3 linked regions of the Arabidopsis thaliana genome follow. The protein of the gene in region 1 interacts with the protein of each later gene in a pairwise test. Each region holds a gene or a part of one and is shown on either strand. Other genes may lie near its edges.

Evidence for each region.
Region 2: the proteins of AT5G49990 (region 1) and CIPK25 interact in a protein complementation assay, tested with the Arabidopsis thaliana proteins (one large-scale study listed by BioGRID).
Region 3: the proteins of AT5G49990 (region 1) and AT5G10820 interact in a protein complementation assay, tested with the Arabidopsis thaliana proteins (one large-scale study listed by BioGRID).

The regions. Positions count from the first base shown.
Region 1 is NC_003076.8:20,336,451-20,343,851, forward strand, and holds AT5G49990 (Xanthine/uracil permease family protein), read right to left. Parts: upstream 5,586-7,401; 5' UTR 5,317-5,585; exon of another isoform or gene 5,297-5,316; intron 5,257-5,296; exon of another isoform or gene 4,748-5,256; 5' UTR 4,738-4,747; coding exon 4,641-4,737; intron 4,212-4,640; coding exon 4,114-4,211; intron 4,027-4,113; coding exon 3,850-4,026; intron 3,724-3,849; coding exon 3,623-3,723; intron 3,539-3,622; coding exon 3,463-3,538; intron 3,377-3,462; coding exon 3,317-3,376; intron 3,173-3,316; coding exon 2,988-3,172; intron 2,858-2,987; coding exon 2,761-2,857; intron 2,520-2,760; coding exon 2,433-2,519; intron 2,318-2,432; coding exon 2,259-2,317; intron 2,176-2,258; coding exon 2,084-2,175; intron 2,002-2,083; coding exon 1,924-2,001; intron 1,794-1,923; coding exon 1,414-1,793; 3' UTR 1,136-1,413; downstream 1-1,135. Other genes in the region: AFB5 (auxin F-box protein 5), read right to left, coding at 1-81; AT5G50000 (Protein kinase superfamily protein), read right to left, coding at 6,388-6,594, 6,792-6,926, 7,000-7,174, 7,254-7,401.
Region 2 is NC_003076.8:8,656,620-8,661,264, forward strand, and holds CIPK25 (CBL-interacting protein kinase 25), read right to left. Parts: upstream 2,734-4,645; 5' UTR 2,588-2,733; coding exon 1,121-2,587; 3' UTR 985-1,120; downstream 1-984.
Region 3 is NC_003076.8:3,419,716-3,425,442, forward strand, and holds AT5G10820 (Major facilitator superfamily protein), read right to left. Parts: upstream 3,585-5,727; 5' UTR 3,452-3,584; coding exon 2,792-3,451; intron 2,685-2,791; coding exon 2,580-2,684; intron 2,377-2,579; coding exon 2,206-2,376; intron 1,737-2,205; coding exon 1,161-1,736; 3' UTR 985-1,160; downstream 1-984. Other genes in the region: ER (enhancer of rudimentary protein), read right to left, coding at 1-36, 480-585, 839-841; AT5G10830 (S-adenosyl-L-methionine-dependent methyltransferases superfamily protein), read left to right, coding at 4,016-4,165, 4,299-4,934; EMP1 (Endomembrane protein 70 protein family), read right to left, coding at 5,195-5,727. UniProt on the Arabidopsis thaliana protein: Could mediate folate transport.

The DNA of each region.
Region 1 (7,401 bases):
TATGGCGGTAGAGGGTAGATCCAACGGTGGAGATTGTTGGTCATCGTCATCTTCAGACATTTCTGAGCGATCTTGTGTCATAAAGAGAGAGGCTTTGGATTCAGATTAGAGAAGAGGAAGAGGAAGAAGAGGAAGAAGAAGAAGAAGCTTTGGGGTGTGAGAGAGTGGGAGCTTTCTCTCTCCACTTCGTCTCCATTATTTGGGGATTATTTTTTATTTTTAATTTTCTGTTTTGTCTTCTTATATTTATGTACAAAAATAATTAATATTCATGTTTTTTTTTTCTTACTAGAAAGTAAAATGTAACTCTTTTTTTCTGCTTTCTTGTCTCCATCAATGTTTTTACACTTTACAGTTTCGTCCTCTTTATTTTCTTCAGATCTCTATTTTAGCAATGTTTTAATTAGAAAACAATAAAATCAACATTATCCATTTCTATAGTGTAGGACACTTGCCTACCCTTTTTTCGAGATAAGTTGAGAATTTAACCATATTGGTTAGGGTAATTTTTTTTGTCTTAAACCAAATCACTAAGCATAGATAATATGAACAAATTGGTTGGGATCATTTCAAGTAACCTCCTACGAATTATATGTATAGACCCGCATAAATGATTTCGAACTAGTGCACTTTTTTGGATTCTAACATTTTTGATCCGTAGATTATTATTAAGTAACTCACAATAGTTTATAACTTCTTATACCTTAACCTAAGGTGGTAAGTGGTAACCGATTTAGCTAATGACGTCTTTAAATTTTATCAGTCAAAAATGTATTTATATATGTGCCACAAACAAGCACATATTATTCTACCAATCAAACAAAACAAATACAGTATAACACAACTAAATACAAAACCCATTCATCATTGAGGCTCTGTTTTTTGTGTGCAAATACTCATCGTTGTGGCTAACCATCTGTTTTAGACTTTTAGTTATCGTTAACTTCCTATCAACTAGTTATATGCAACCAAAGAAGTGTTTAAATGGACGACAGAGAATGAAGCACATGAACCCCTACTTATCTTCAAAAGTATATCATAAGAGTTTCAACGTCAAATCTAGCATTACAAATTTTTGTAGGAAATTTTTTTTGTTATAGAATTAGAATCGAAAAGCCTCCAAAACTCACAAAATTTTCTCTTTTAATCATTTGTATTAAAACAGAGCATACATACTCTAGTTCTAAATTTGGCAAAACGAGTATCATCTTTAATGCAAAACATCTAAACATAGAAGAAACATCACATTAATATTTCTAAAATGTTACTTAACACTTTGGGTTATAATATCTAGTTGCGTTTTATAGTCTCCTCACCGAATATGCACATAAAACCTAGCTAGATAAGGTGTGTCCTCCTAAGGGACACAAAACTAGCAAAACAGCATTCCATAAAGTTTGGAAGGATTTTTTTTCAGACAGAAGGGAAATATTTGTTGAGGTTGAACGGAAGAGCATAGAACTCTTCTGTTCTCGGGTCGTTCTTGAAAGTCCAGAATCTGTCCCACCAGTGTTTACCTCGGTCTTTCCTGATCGAACCATCTTTCTTGTGAAGCGTCGTGTCCAACAAGTAAGCCACACATCCTCCCACAAAGGCCTTGGACGAGAAGGGCACATTGACCATGTCGTTGAACCATCTTGCCCCGGTATGAACTGGACCATAGCCTTTGATGGCTGTGTGCTCGTTGAAATATTGTGGAATTGATAGGCCTAGGAAGATTGAGAAGCCCAGTATGAATAATGTCCTGAAGCTATTCAGGTTGCAGAATTGCAGCAAACTCAGTCCTCCAGCACCTATACAACAGTTTTTGTATTAAAGATGCTCATAGCTAAAACAAGTCTCTAGCTCTATATGTTGGTAAGCAAACCAATCTGAACCAAATTGCTTCAATCTAAACCAAGCTAAAAAAGAAACAATACTTACCTACATACGCAAAGAAGAGACAGTACAAGGCAGCTATGATAGGAGAAGGTATGGATGCAAATACTGCCCCGAACTTCCCTGCATTAGTTTTATTTAAGACGATTACTTAACGTAGTCCACTTCAATTCTTAATGAATTTTTGTGAGAGAGACAAGCTTACCAAGAATTGAGAAGAATATCATAAAGCCTGCAGATATTTGAACAACTCTCCTGCTACCAATTTTTGTTAGTGCCAGCAGACCCGCATTCTCGCTGCATTCATGTGAAAACAAACTCACCACACCATTCAAAATCAGCTCATGTCCTAGATTTGGGAAAAGGATAGGAGGTCTTACACAGAAACTGAAGACCCTATACCAGTTCCGAACAACCCTGAGATTAAAATTGCAACTCCCTAAACCAGAAGAGAACATAGTTGAGGCACAACGTTAGATAAATGGCCACTTGCTTGCCCCGAGAAAACCTCGAGATGGTATTTGTAAAATGAAGCTTATGAAGTGAGTATTTACCTGCCAACCAACCCCGCGGCTGATAACAGAAGGTGGCGGCATTGTGGCACTAGCATATCTTGAGACGGCAATAAAAGCACCTGTGGACTGTTTTTTGTTGACAAACAAGTCAACATAATGAGTAAGCAAGATGAGATTAAACCAAAGAGCAAGAAAATTCGAAAGAATGAAGAGAGAGTCTCATTGACTTTAAAAGTTAATGAGTATGCAACCTATGAAATTCATCTATTAAGGACAGCCTTTCTATATAAATGGATATGAAAATCTATGCATATCATAAATAATTGTCTAATGTCATTTAAAAAAGGTGAAGATGAGTGAAACAAACCTCAACAAGAGCAACAAAAGAAGCCATCATCATGGCAAATGCTTCACCAGCATCAAACAATGGTGCTCCCCATTGGAAAGGCCACGGAACTCTTATCCTGCACAATTAATAAGCGTAAAATGCTAAGCCACACTTGTATTCACTGACAGGTCATTAAAGAAAATACTTTTTTGCTAACATAACTCAGCGAGACATTCAATGTTCAAGCCTTGTTCTGAAATTCTTACCATGGAGCAGCACTTATAAGCCCAGCGCGATCAGTCCGACAGCTTCTTTGAGTATCTGTCCCAACACCATTATAGGCACCACCAAGTGTAAGAAAGAAAGCATAAAGCCATACTATCGCCACAGAAAATATGACAGCAAAGCGAGCAAACACATGTTTTCCTCCTTTTATAACATGGGGCATGTACTACAAAACCAGCAAAAAGTATGACCCAGATGATTAGAAACATCAACATACTGGAAGAACACATCCGGATCAATAACTTATGCAATGAGAACAGATGAGCCGGCTGCAAATTGCTACCAGTTATGAATCTTTACCTACAATTACCTGTGATATTAGTATGAGAATAATAAGCCCAGGCAGTCCAATCTCAATACACTTAGCAACCTGGCCAAAATAACAAAGAATCAAGATTCCACTAGGTTGATATAATTTAGTTTATCTGTTCCCATTTACAGAACAAAGAGACTTACACCGGGAAAACCTAACTCGTACAGGCCATAACCAACTAATCCAACCAAAGGAGCAGCAGATAGTGGACTTAAGAACCTGGACGAACAGAAGTTCAATATCATATTCTTTAACCTGACACAGTGGAACAAGATTTGAGTCTAATGTAGCTCAAAGACTGACCTTACAACATTACGCCAAAGGCCACTGAAGCCAAGGATAATTTGAAGAGTTGAAGCAACAATAAGAGCACCTTGGGTTGCCCGAATTATCCTCTTAAATCGCTGATAAGGTATCAAAAAGGTAATTTAGAGTAAAACTTCATATTCAAGCATAACTTTATTGATAGTGATAGTACACTAAATAGATAATAACACAATTCAATTAGGGGATAAGTGTGAGCTACGAACCTCAACTGGATCTGCAACGTCATTGAATCTCCCAGAAAGCATGATTGAGATAGTAACCGGGACAAATGTATAAGATGCTCCAATAACAGCAGGTAATCTAGTTCCAAACACAGTTTGGAGCAGTGTGTTCAATCCAGCTACAAACAATATTGTCTGGATCAGCTTTGCCTTCTCTTCCTGCCAAAATCATAAACTTTAAGTACAATGAAAGACTGAAAAGAATAATGTGAACAACTATCTTTCTAGAAAAGAGACTTAACTTACATTTCTACCTCCCATTTGTGGAACAAGAGCCGATGGAATCAGAACTGTTGTTCCAAGCATCACAAGGTAGTGTTGAAACCCAAGCAGAACAGCCTCAGCTGTAAGACAAGAATAAACTCAGTCTCACATTTACTAATTAAGAAGCTTAAAACCTCATATTCAAACAAGAATTATTCAAAAACCAACTACCAAATTAGAAACATACAGTAACACTAAAAATAAAAGTTAGATTGAACATATAGCAAAACCAAGGGGTGGATTAAGTTTAATTTCCTTTGTTAGCAAAGAATGATCCTCAAAACACCTAGTAGGAGATTCTCAAGGTAAAAACGAATATTTCTTAAAGAGAAAAGTAAGAATCCAATCCTCACGTTGCAACAAAAAGCAAAAAGTAAATGATACCAAAATCAGAAAAAGTAAAAATGGAAGAAGCTAATCAATCACAAGGCTTCAAAACCAGGGATATGCCTAGAACAAAAGCTAGAAGTCAAACGTTAAGGGAAAAGGAAAAGAAGAGAGAAACTAACGCCATGGAGGAGGACTTGTAATGCAGTAAGAGATATCTGGAAGCTGTTCTTTCGGCGGATGTGGTAGTGGATCACCACCCGATTTCGGAGCTGACATTCTTCAACCTCTGCAACAAAAAAATAAAAATCAAAACTTTAAACCAAAAACTTCACATAACGAGAAAGTGACTGAAACCCAAATCACAGAAGAAGCAAAACTCACGAAATTTGAGCTCAAGAAGCAGAAAACAAGAAAAAGACCTCGTTTTGAGCTAACCCACAGTTGCAAAAACAATAAAAACCAAAACTCTACACCAAAAACTTCACTAACCCGAAAAGTGACTGAAACCCAAATCACAGAAGAATCAAAAGCTACGAAATTTGAGCTCAATAAGTAGAAAACATAAAAACAGAGGTAAAGACCTCGTTTTGAGCTAAACCCACAGTTGTAACTTTACACCAAAAAAACTTCAATAAACCGCAAAGTTACTGAAACCCAAATCACGAAAGCAGCAAAAGTCACGAACTTTAAGCTCAAAAAGCTCGTAAATGAAGAAAGAAGGCGAAACAGAACAAAAACCCAACAAAAAGACCTCGTTTTTAAAGCTAAAATCAAGAGCAGAGTTTTAAAAATGATTCTGTTTAAGTAAGAAGAGCAGAGAGGAGAGATTATACACAGATTAGAAGAAATAGAAACCTTGTGAAGAAGCAGCAGCAGAAGAAAATTGGAGAGTAAACTAGAAGAAGAAGCAGTGAAGAGAAGAGGCTTGATGAGGAAGGAGCAGAGGGGACAGTTGTCTACGTTTCGCTATATCAGCGTTACTTTGTGCACCGATTGACGTCACCACGAAAACAACCTCTTACCTGTCATTACTCTTAATTCATTTGTCATTAGTAGTTCCCCAACGCTTTTTTCTTATTACTAAATTTTTGACAATGAAGACAATACTTATTTATTTGTTTGGTAATGAATGAATGATATAGATATAGTTTCATTGTGGTGTCGCCAACTGCTATTATTATTTATAATCAGTGTTCTTAAACACACTATACAATTTGGCACTAAACACTAGACTTCTAAGAAACATTATTAGCACAAGCTTCTAGTCTCAATAATACGTTATTGTTAACTTGTGTTATTGTTAATGAGGCGTTAGACCCATAGTTATACAAAGAGAGAAGATAACCTAAGGTTACAAAAAGACCATAATGGGGCAAAGAAATGTTGACTAAGCTAAGATTAGACCATAATGGGGCAAAGAAATGTGGACTAAGCTAAGATTAGTAGCTATTGACTAGATCTACTCTATTAAACCAAAAGACAATACTGAAGTAGCAATAATATCTTCAACAAAGTTGTTTCTCGACTATGCATTCCAACCTAATGGTCCTTCTATGGGAAGTGAGGTTTATCATAGCTGAACATTGGACTATATATATCAAATAGGATGTTCCTGTCGAGTGTAGTTGGTTAACCCATAAAGACAAAAAGAACAGTTGTACCATTGACTAGCTATATCAAATATATGATTAGAGATGATGATATACGTGACCATAAATATTTAATAAGCAACTCTCACAAATAGAGCAAAACAAGAAATGTTGAAGAATATGGAAACCAAATCATACTCTTTACGTAAATTTTAGCAACCATTAGATCCCTAACAAGCCTTCCCATTTTTTTTCCTTCTGGATTATAAAAAGAAAAAGAAAAGAAGCAAGGACACGAATCTTGAGTTTTGAATGATCTTAGATTGGTCTTTGGGAATTAAGGACCACGTTTCCTTCGGAAGCATAGGCAACCCTGTTGCTGGTCGTTAGGAATCATCCCTCCTCCCTTGGTTGTGTCAATACTCTCCAACATTGGTACAACCTCATCCATCTCCGGTCTCTTGTCCGGATTTGCATCCCAACATCGCTTCATCACAGCTGCAAGTGCGCTCGGGCAACACCTCGGTATATCGGGTCTCAGGTTCTGCATTGATCATATGTAGCAGCATATTGCATATAGATTTTTTACTTCAGTGAAATGATGAAATGGTTACACTACTCTAGATCACATTTTTTACTTCAGTGATTCCTCAAGATTTACAACAAAATATAATTGTGAAACAACCAATATGCACATTTCAATTAAATTAACTTTTCTTTGCTTAATCTATTCAACCATACCTGGCGGACGACGGCTGAAGTGACCTCAGAGAAAGTAAGGTCAGGGTATGGCATGTCACAGCAATATATCTCCCATAAGCAGATCCCGAAACTGTATACATCGCATTTTCGATTATACGGGTTTCCATTGAGAACCTGCAGCCAAAGTTTATTTGTTATAAAAAGTTGGTTTGTTACCAATCTTGATGATGCATTATCACTATAGTACCTCAGGCGCCATGTAGCCAAGTGTGCCAGTCTCTCCTGTCATGTCATTAGGGTTAGATGCTTCAACTCTCGCAACTCCAAAATCTGCGATTTTAACAGTCCGGGTTTTGTCTAACAACATATTCTCTGTCTTTACATCTCGGTGAACAATCTTCTGCGAATGAAGGTAACTCAACCTAAAAGCAACATAACAATAACCATTAGAGCAGATAAACGACTTGAGAAGGCAGCGAAAGAAGGGAGAATATAATGTACCCTCTAGCGAGATCAAGAGCGAGCTGAACAACAATTTTAAATGTTAGTTTTCTTCTTCTGTTCTTGATCAGGTAAGATTTTAAAGCACCACCTGGAAGATATTCAACAACAACACAACATATATTGTTTGGCATAGCTAATGGACCAC
Region 2 (4,645 bases), about 12 Mb from region 1:
TTGATCGTTTCGGAGTCTATACGACACGAACACGTGCCCTGTTCTTCTCAAAGCTCCAATTATGTTACAAGTTTTGTCCGTTACTTTTTCTTTTATCACGCAAGCAACGTTACCGTGTCCACTTGTCAAACAGTTATATGTCACTAATCTCTTGCTAAACCTGACAAATTATCTTCCAAGATAGTTTATTTGCGACCATCCTATATTAATAATTTCTTAAGAGAAAATTTGTTTCTAAGTAGTTCTTGTTATTAACGTTAATACATGTTCCAATTCCTAGAGAGATAATTGGTATATTCGGAAGATAGAAGAGATAGTGTAAGGTTTTGTACTGTTTATTTATACGTGGACTGTGGTATGGATGTGAGATATGAGTACAAAGATGACAATTTTCATTAGCGAATATCTATTAGCAAACTTCTATTACTCCATTATTTCTACTAGATGTGATAAAATGGTATTTATAGAAAATATCTTATCCTAATTTGTAGATATACTTGTTGGATAATTGGTTTGGATCGTCCGTAAAACTATAGACGATCCATTATATTACTTTTTAGGCGGATATAATATAAAATTAACAATTTTTGTTCTAGTGAAATAGTCCATGTAACCCGGTATAGTTGTCGAAAAAAGAATGGTTGGCATCGAAATATGTTTTTAAGCGATTATAATTAATGGTTGATCAGCGAAACATAAAGTATCATCCTACATACTTGAGCATGTTTAGTAAAAGGGATGATGGCTCCAGGGCTCCCGGAACTAAAACACCTACAATACTCATGTAAAAAGTGATTAACATCTTTTAAAACTTTTTCGAATACGACATAATACACTGATCTCATAAACCGTTTTTATCAGTTCGATCCAAGAATCTACCGTTTTCCTAACATCAACGAGATATGGCCATAAGTCGGATTCTAACAAATTCATCATCATGGCGCATAAGGCGAAACTATATCTACTTTTAGTAAATAATCTAAATGATTAAAATAAGTTGCTCAAAGAGAATAAAATAAACCTCAACTTCTATATACACAATATACAAAAACTTCCTTGAATCTAACAACTGATTAACAAAAATACACAGTTTAATTTACATAACTATCATTACATTCTCTTAGCAGTCACTACCAGAATTTTCATCACTAACATAATTACCATTACTCTTAACAATATTATTATTATGATTATCACCGTGCCACGACCACACTATCTCCTCCAACGCTGGCCGGACATGTTCTTCATACAACCTATTATACTCCAAAGTATCTCCCGCCGACTTACACAACTCAACGACGGCGACTTCCGGCGCAACCTCGAAAACCTCAGCAGTCACCGCGATCTGTCCTTTCCTCCCTTCCGTTTTCCCAAACAACTTCACCTTAAAGTCTTTAGTCCTCTTCACCTTCATATTCATCTCTTTCCCTATCCCTTCAAGCTTCCCCATTATCTCCGACGCCGACCACCGTGACGTAAACATAGATCTCAGCTTCCTCTTACTCTCGAACAAACTTGATAGATCAAATCCTGATGACATAGAAGAGATGAATTCAAACGCGTTAAAGAACTTCGGCGAGACCGGTGTTGTTGTTGTTGTTGCTGTTGTTGCTGTTGTTGTTGGTGTTTCGTCTTCTACGTTTTGGATCTCGAGCTCATCGATCTTGAACTCGATCGGAGAGTTGATGTTTTTACGAAACCACGGTGTTCGCATAATCGCCGGTATCGAGATCCGTTTGTTAGGATCAACAACTAAAAGCTTTGAAATCAACCTCTTGGACTCCGGTGAAAACCACGGCGGATACTCAAACTCCGATTTGAAGATCTTCCGATACATTTTCATTAGGTTCTCATCTTGAAACGGTAAGAATCCAGCGAGAAGCACGTACAAGATAATACCACACGACCAAATATCACCTTTAGCTCCGTCGTAACCTTTCTTCCTCAAAACCTCCGGTGCAACATACGCCGGAGTTCCACACTGAGTATGAAGCAAACCGTCTTGTAAAATCTGTTCCGGTAAAGCAGAGAGACCAAAATCTGAAACCTTAAGATCTCCGTTCTCGTCAACTAAGAGATTCTCCGGTTTTAGATCTCGGTGAGAAACGCCTCTACTATGACAAAAATCAACGGCTGAGATTAATTGTTGGAAATACTTACGAGCAGAGTCTTCTTTAAGCTTTCCTTTAACGATCTTGGAGAAAAGTTCACCGCCTTTAACGTATTCCATGATAAAGAAGATCTTTGTTTTTGTAGCCATGACTTCTTTTAACTCAACGATGTTTGGATGACGAACAAGTCTCATGATTGAGATCTCTCGTTTGATTTGTTCCATCATACCTTCACGTTTGACTTGATCTTTGTTGATGATTTTGATTGCAACGCTTTCTCCGGTTGTTATCTCTTTGCCGTAATAAACTTTTCCGAATGTTCCTTTGCCTAGTAACCTTCCCATCTCGTATTTCGCGAAGAGAACACGAAGTTGTTGTTGCTCTTCCTCCATTGTAGGGGCCGATTGGTAACGACTGTCTGGGTGAAAAACGGATGAGTGATTTAAGAGAGGGTAAAGTTTAAGTTTGGATCCCATGTGTATATACAGAAGTAGAATGAGTCCATATTCAGTATATGGAATATGAGATAGATTGGTGATGAATGATGAAGAAGAAGGTGGTTTAGTTTTATAAGAAATGAAGCAAAGGACTTGAGAGGGGATGTATGAGGCGGCCACTTGTAAATATATTATGTGGGTTAATTAAGAGATACTTAAGAAGAAAGAGACTCTTATTATCAATGCTGCGGTTTTAGAGATGCAAGTTTTTATACTATGGGTTATTTTTCTCTCTATACAATATGTATTTACATAAGTCTTTTTTAAATAGTAAATATACTTATTATATTAACATATATTTAATGTCCCTCTTTCCGTTACACTTTTCAGCATTGAATTTTTAAGTTTATAGTATTAAATAAAAATTAATGTAAATAACCAAACTATTTTATATAGAAATGTTAATAATAATTGTAACTTACCATTTATTGGTGTAAGGAAATTTGTTACCGTCCAATAATAATGGCAGGCTAATGTGGGTGGGCAAATGATGCAATCCTCTAGAGCCTACCTTAATTTTGATTAATTTTTGATTTAAGAAAATATCATTTTTAATAAGAGTTGTATAGATTTAATGAAACAAATATGTTATTAAGGGTCCAAGTTTTTAATTCATTTGTAATAATAGTCCAAAGATTTTGGTGAAAGAGATTAGTGTTGTTGACTGAAATATCGAATATAAATAAGTGATGATGACGCAATGGTAGTATTTGTTTGTAGCTATCGTTGGAGAAGATATTTCTAGCGGAATTTTTGTCATTAGCTCCAAGTATCAAAAAAGAAAATACTAATGACACAAATAGTGAGTATACTTATACATGCATCTATATATTAAAGTTTTTATGTCGACGAGAAAGGACACGATGTGGAAGTCAATTTCGTCATGTTGTTTTGGATCTTTGTTTTTTGAGGCTAAACTATAGCTAATTAATACTAAACACGATTACTGTATATACACGTAGAAATCCTTAAATGTTGAGCTGGTTTATTTATTTCACTAATATCATTTTGTTAAACGTACAATTTTTATTCCAATCGAGTAAGCTTTTTCCTTTAAGTTGTTTGGAATTTTGTTTGACATGAAATCAGTAAAAAAATAATCAAAGTATTTGGTATTTATACAAAGGCCTAGTAACAATATAAACAACTTACAAAATCAAATCTATTTATAGAACGATCTTAAAATATCAAGATACTAAAACTTTGGGAAAAATACAAAACAATTACAAACTTTAAGCTTAGGAAGGTTGTTAAATAAAAGAATTTGTTAGAGTTTCTAAATAATTTAACTATTTAAGGGTCTATTGGATTAAGGATTTTGATTATTTTGGTGGATTTTAAAATTAGTGGGCTTTTAATAAATATCAAATATATTCTAATGATTATAAAAAGGCTTGAGATTCAGTGGGCTCTTATGATTTTTTTAAAATGCTGCTAAGGAGAATTTTCGTATCAAAAGTTAGATACCTCTAGGCCCATAGTTTTGACGAAGACAACAACTGTGAAAGAAAAGTGTTACCTCCAAAATTGTTCTACTACCTCACAGAACATAATGTGTAAGATTAACGTCAATGATTTTTTTTATTTTTTTGTCATCTACGTCAATAATTTGTTAATAAGAGATTAGAGATCCAACTACTAGGATATAAAATTTTAAATAGTAAATGCAATAATAATAGTAGAAAGATCGAACAAGAGATCAAAGTGAGAATCAGAGCTTAACCGGAGATTAAGAGAGACATGAGAACAACGAATGGTCAAGATGAATAATGGAGACTACCATGAAGAGATCAATACGATAGAATCCGACGATAACGAGGCATGAATGAGGCTTTTTTTTTGTTTTTTTACGTTGATGTTGTATATATGGGAGATTTCATATTTTTAATTTGTTTGAAGTCACTCCAAATTTCATGTTTAACAAAAAATAGTAATAATATATGAAGTTTCATAAAATCCTTTTTCATTAGATTTTTCCCCCAAATTGCTATATTCCTATTAGCATCACATTTTCTATGAATTTTCATATAATTAATC
Region 3 (5,727 bases), about 17 Mb from region 1:
TTTCCTTCAACTTCCTTTCATATAAGCCGCAAATACCTGTTTACGACCAGAAAAAAATCAGCGTTGCAAGCTAAAAACTTATTGCTTCTACAAAACCAAAAACAAAAAAACAGCTTCCTTAATTCACTTAAACACTCGGAAGAGAGGTAATGAACTTAAGAAACCTACATTTCTTCTACATTGCTAATTCCTCCACTTTATTGAGCAAACAAGTTAGTAATCAAAATACAAACCACTTTATTACCACTTTATTACCGAGCAGACTCATCACACACTATATATCAATCAGCTTATAGCACTGGTACTAAAATCTGAACTTCCTAATAAGTCACAGAAATAGCTACAGAATTATATAATATACATGTCGTAATTCAAAATCATCCATCTTGTTGCCACAAAGATAAACCTCAACATAATCATAACCAAAGTCAACAATGAGTAGACTAGTTAGAGAATGATGATTCGAAATTAATAATTACCATCCATAGCTTGGCCTATAGAGTCATAGTCCATGAAAGTCCTCGTAGCTCTGCTCGGAGAATTCTGCAACAAGATGATTGTGTGCCTACTACTGTTGTGATTAGCCTACACAACAAAGAAGAAAGTTGATAATAGTCAGCTTATAAGAACTGAGACAATCAAAACAAGTTTGAATTTCCTTCTCTATGTTCCGTAAACTAACGAGAAATCATCAGAAACTGAGATTCAAACTGCGTAAGGAACGATATTCGAAAACCTAACACGATCTAACCAAAAGGATTTGCTCAAATTTCTTCGCGATTGACTAAGGAATCACTAAAACTACACAAAAGGAACGTTAGGAGAAGAAATCGATTACCATCTTCGAGTGATATTGTGACTTCGCTAGCAGAGTTTGAGGTTTAGACGACGAAGACGAGAAGAAGAAGAAGAAGTTTCACTGTTTGAGAGAGAAAAACGAATACTGTATAACCCAACAAGAGGGCAAAATCGTAAAATAACATAGGGTCTCTGTCGCTTAACATGTGACATCAGATATAGTACGACAAAACGGCATGTATTTCCTTTAAAATATGAAAAAACTACAAGCTGTTTCCATCTGATTAGTAGATTTTGTTTCTTTGAAATTGTTCATGTTAGGCATTTACTGTTCGAAATGTTTCATGTTATACAAAATAGCTTTACAGAAGCAAAAGTTTAATGTCGTCATCATCATCATCTTCTGATTGTTTCTTTGGCAACACATCAGAAGGTACAAGATCATCCAAATGATCGGAATCTGGAACGAGGAAAACGAAACACACAGTGACGAGTCTCAAAATATTCCTTATCAGAATCACGAGCCAGAGATTTCCGAAATCGTGTCTCGTGACACCAAAAGCGTGAAGAACAAACCCTCCACCCCATTTAGAAGCAAGCTGTCCAAAACTATCAATGCACATGAGGAAAGCAAAGAAGGTGCCTTCGATTCCCAGAGGACAAAGCCTTGTACTGAGAACCACCATGGGGATCCACCTGATCTTACTTATCATCTTCGTGAAAGATTCTTCGGTTATCACAAACAAGGAATCTGGTATCCCGAGAGTTAAGTTCCAGCGTTTGATGAAGACTAGATCAAGCATTCCTGAGAAGACGTATAGAAGTTGTGCAAAGAAGAGTATGTTCCTAAAGGAATAGCCTTTGAGCTTCTTGTGATATATGAGAACTCCAAACATAGATGCCAATGCCCCGACTGCATAGATTATTCCCACAAACTCCTGCATTTAGACCAAAATAAGCAAGTTTGAATCTAGCTCATAATTACATTATTGGATAAAGAATTTTATTAGCTTGTTCAGAAACTCCATAGCTTTATATGTCAATGTGACACTACCACACAATCATAATTTCAACACCATTTCATAAGGCATGCAGATATTCACAAACCTAAAGACAAGATTTTTCCTAGCTAAAATAGGCTTTCAAGAGAAGTGACTCCATGGAGATTAATATAAACCAGCGAAACAGTCTGAAATATGATTCACATAATATCATGACATACTACCACAGTGTCAATCTTGAGCTTGCGATCCATGGGAACCTGTTTTTGCTAGCTTCCCATGTCGTTTAGTAACTATACTGGTTCCTATGAACTCAATCTATATAAGACCCAAACTGTTTAACCACTATCTTTATTCTTTAAATCAAGATCTTTAAAAAGAGCTTCTTCAGGATTGTACAACCAACCTGGGAAAAGGCGGGCCCAGCTGTAGGATCAGTGTACCAGTAGAAGTGGCCTTCATGAGTGCTGATGTTGAGAGCTAAGGATATGAACATGTAAAGAGATGGCTTCCACACTTCAGGGTACTTTACTGTTTTGCACATTCCCTTCACCGCTACTCCTAAGCCATCTGTGTCCTGAAGAAAATTCAAACGATTGCTCAAGAGTTCGATCAAGATTCCAAGTCATGAGATAAAGTCAAGAGGCATGAATTTTCAATAATCCGGCAGAAACAAATAAAGACAAGGAAAATTTCTGTTTGGATTATTCTGCTGCGACGCCAATTCTGGTCACTTGTGAGAGAGATCAAAGGAGTTGAGATTACAGGCTAAGGCCTCACCTTTTTGGTCTTTTGTGTAGGAACAGTAGAAGATCTTTTCTCGTAGATGAAAAACCCAAGTATGACGATAGTTGCAGGCGAAAATGCTAATACCCCTAATGCTCCCTATATCAGAAAAAACAAAACAGAAAAACGAGATTTCAAGTTTCTAATCTCGATATCTAAAGGGAACACGTCCTGAAAACGTGACTAAAAAGGTGTAAAGGCTCAACCTGAGGTCCAAGCTGGTGAACGAAGACTCCACTAGTTGCGTATCCAACCAAAGCGCCAGCAGATGAACAAACCATACAAAGGCTCTGTATATCAGGAGCCAAAGATCGGATATTGATGCTGTTTGTTGCTATACACGCATCAATCACCACATCTGCAATGGCCATAGCTGCAGAGACACCTAAGAGGCAGCTCAAAGCCAAAGCAGCGGGCAACTTACCAAGAACAACAATAGCAATCGCAGATACCAAACCAAGAACACCAGAAACTACAAAATACGGCTTTCTTTTGTAACCTTTGATAGGGAACACATCGGTGAAGAGACCCCAAATGGGTCTCATGACCCATGGAATGTAATATAACCCCATGTAAAGCTGCACAACCGATGGCTGCACTTGCTGGACATCTTTCCAGTAATAGTCTGTGACGACTTTGAATATCGAACCAGAGAACCCTTGGTTTACACCGTACACAAGGACCACACCTAGCACGAAGCTCAGGTTTAGCCTAGAACTCAGCATTTGTAACCATTGGAAGGGCTGAATTAGAACTGAGACGACAGCGTTTCTTCTTGCTTTTGTCTTGATCTCAGAATGATCTGAAATTGGTTTTAGGAGAGGTTTATCGTCTGAGAAGAATTTCTCAGTTTCTAGTGTTTCCATGGTGTTGACTGTTTAGGAGATGAACATTGGATCTGAAATCAAAATATCGAGAGCAAGAGCCTTTAATCGTTATTTTCAATGTAAAGGAAATGCCTTTTAGACTTTCAAAAAGGTTTAGACATTCACACACGAGGAAAAACAAAAGATATATTATAAAGTTTCCCACTTGACAATGACATTTACCTTGTTGACTTTGTAAGCAATGACGTCTTTCTTCAACTACCAGTCTGAAATTCTACAAAAACGAAACCAAATCGCTTTATTAGCCAAAATTCACAAACTCGATAGTATGATTGACAGATCTTGAAAGCAAAAAGAGAAAGTCAAATGTTTCATCTTCCCACCGAAACTCAAAAATCCTAATCAACATCAACAAACACCTAAACAATTACTTCAAAATCCAATTAAAAAATAGAGAAGGAAAGCGATATGCTGCTTCGTTGGAGGTCATTATCTTTGAGATTCCCACAAGCTAAAAAGACTACTATATATGACTAGAGAGTCATGGCTAGACACTAATCAGAAAAAAGAGAGAAAGAAAAGAAGAAGCAAAACAGAGAGAAAATGGCAGGATTGTTTGATAAACAAGCCGATCTATACCTTGACGCCAGACCTAATTACCCCTCTGAGTGGTTCTCGAAGCTCGCTGATCTCACCGATCACCACGGTTTAGCCTGGGATGCTGCCACCGGAAATGGCCAAGCAGCTCTCGCCGTCAGTATTTGATGCTCATAAATTTTTATAGAGCTTCAAACTTAGATTTAACAGATTTAGCTTCTTGCTCGTAAATGATCACAACAACATGCATCAGATCTTGGATTTGACAAATTTCGCCTCCATTTTGCAGGTTGCAGAGCATTACGAGAGTGTCGTAGCAACGGACGTGAGTGAATCGCAGCTGAAGCTAGCAACGCCACATCCGAAAATCAATTATCGCCATACGCCGACGTCAATGACCGACGACGAGCTAGTGGAATTAATCGGAGGAGAAAACTCAGTGGATCTAATCACGGTCGCCCAAGGCGTACACTGGTTCGATCTCCCTAGGTTCTACTCAGTGGCCACACGACTCCTCCGTAAACCAGGCGGAATCATCGCTGTCTGGGGATACAACGACGTCATAGTGAGTCCAGAGTTCGACGCCGTCCAGTATCGGCTCCACGCCACAACGCTGCCGTTTTGGAAGTATCCGTACATTCAGCACATCTTCGATTCGTACGAAGCATTGCCGTTTCCTTTCGAAAATGTTGGGATGGGATCAGAAGGGGAGCCATTAAAGCTGGAGATGCCTAAAACGACGTCGTTTGAAGGGATCATAAGGATGTTTAAATCATGGTCGGCCATCGTCACGGCGAGAGAGAAAGGCGTCGAGTTGTTACCGGAGAGTTTGGTGAGAGAGCTTGAAACCGCTTGGGGAGGTTCTGATCTGGTTCGTTCCGTCGTTTACAAAGCTTTTATGATTGCAGGAAAAGTTAGAGTTTGATATCACCAAACCATGATTGATTGTTGTTCTCATTTGAGTTTATTTATAAAAATTGGTTATATTGCAAAAATTCTCAGAAAGTGTTGTTATTTGACAAATCAAACAAAATACACTCTATTACATATATTAAAATCTCTTTTGGTATGCAACAAAATAGAACCTAAAATGCAACAAAACCGATTTTAAAAAGAAAAATAAGATAAACTATGATCACCTTTTCTTCTTTGTTTCCTTAATCGCCATGATGATCATCATATCCTCTAATCGATCTTAACAGAGGAATAGATGAGCCTTGTGAACCAGAGACAAGCATAGAACCCTATTGTTCCTGTGAGCACAAAAAATGCGTAGGAGGCGATGAGCATGTACCCAAAGTAAAGCATCGCAGAGACCAGTTTGGTGATCTGAAGCTTTGTGAAGAAGTAGAACGTGGCATAGAGGAAGAGGTAGAGAGCTGATGAGCCTGATGTGAGGTATGATCTCCACCACCAAAGGTAGTCCTCACTGCAAAGCTGGAAGTAGCAGAGTACTACGGTTATCTCGGCGCAAGTCACAATGAGGATTACAAAGACGAGGAAGAGGAACCCAAAGATGTAGTAGAACTGGTTGAGCCAGATGGATGTGAGGATGAAGAAGAGCTCGATGAAGACTGCACCAAACGGTAAGATTCCTCCAATGAGGATTGAGAAAACCGGGTTCATGTACCAAGCTTGCTCTGGGATTTGCCTCGGGATTTTGTTGGTTTTCACTGGGTCATCAGCCGCTGGCTTCTTGAACCCAATGTAACCCCCAA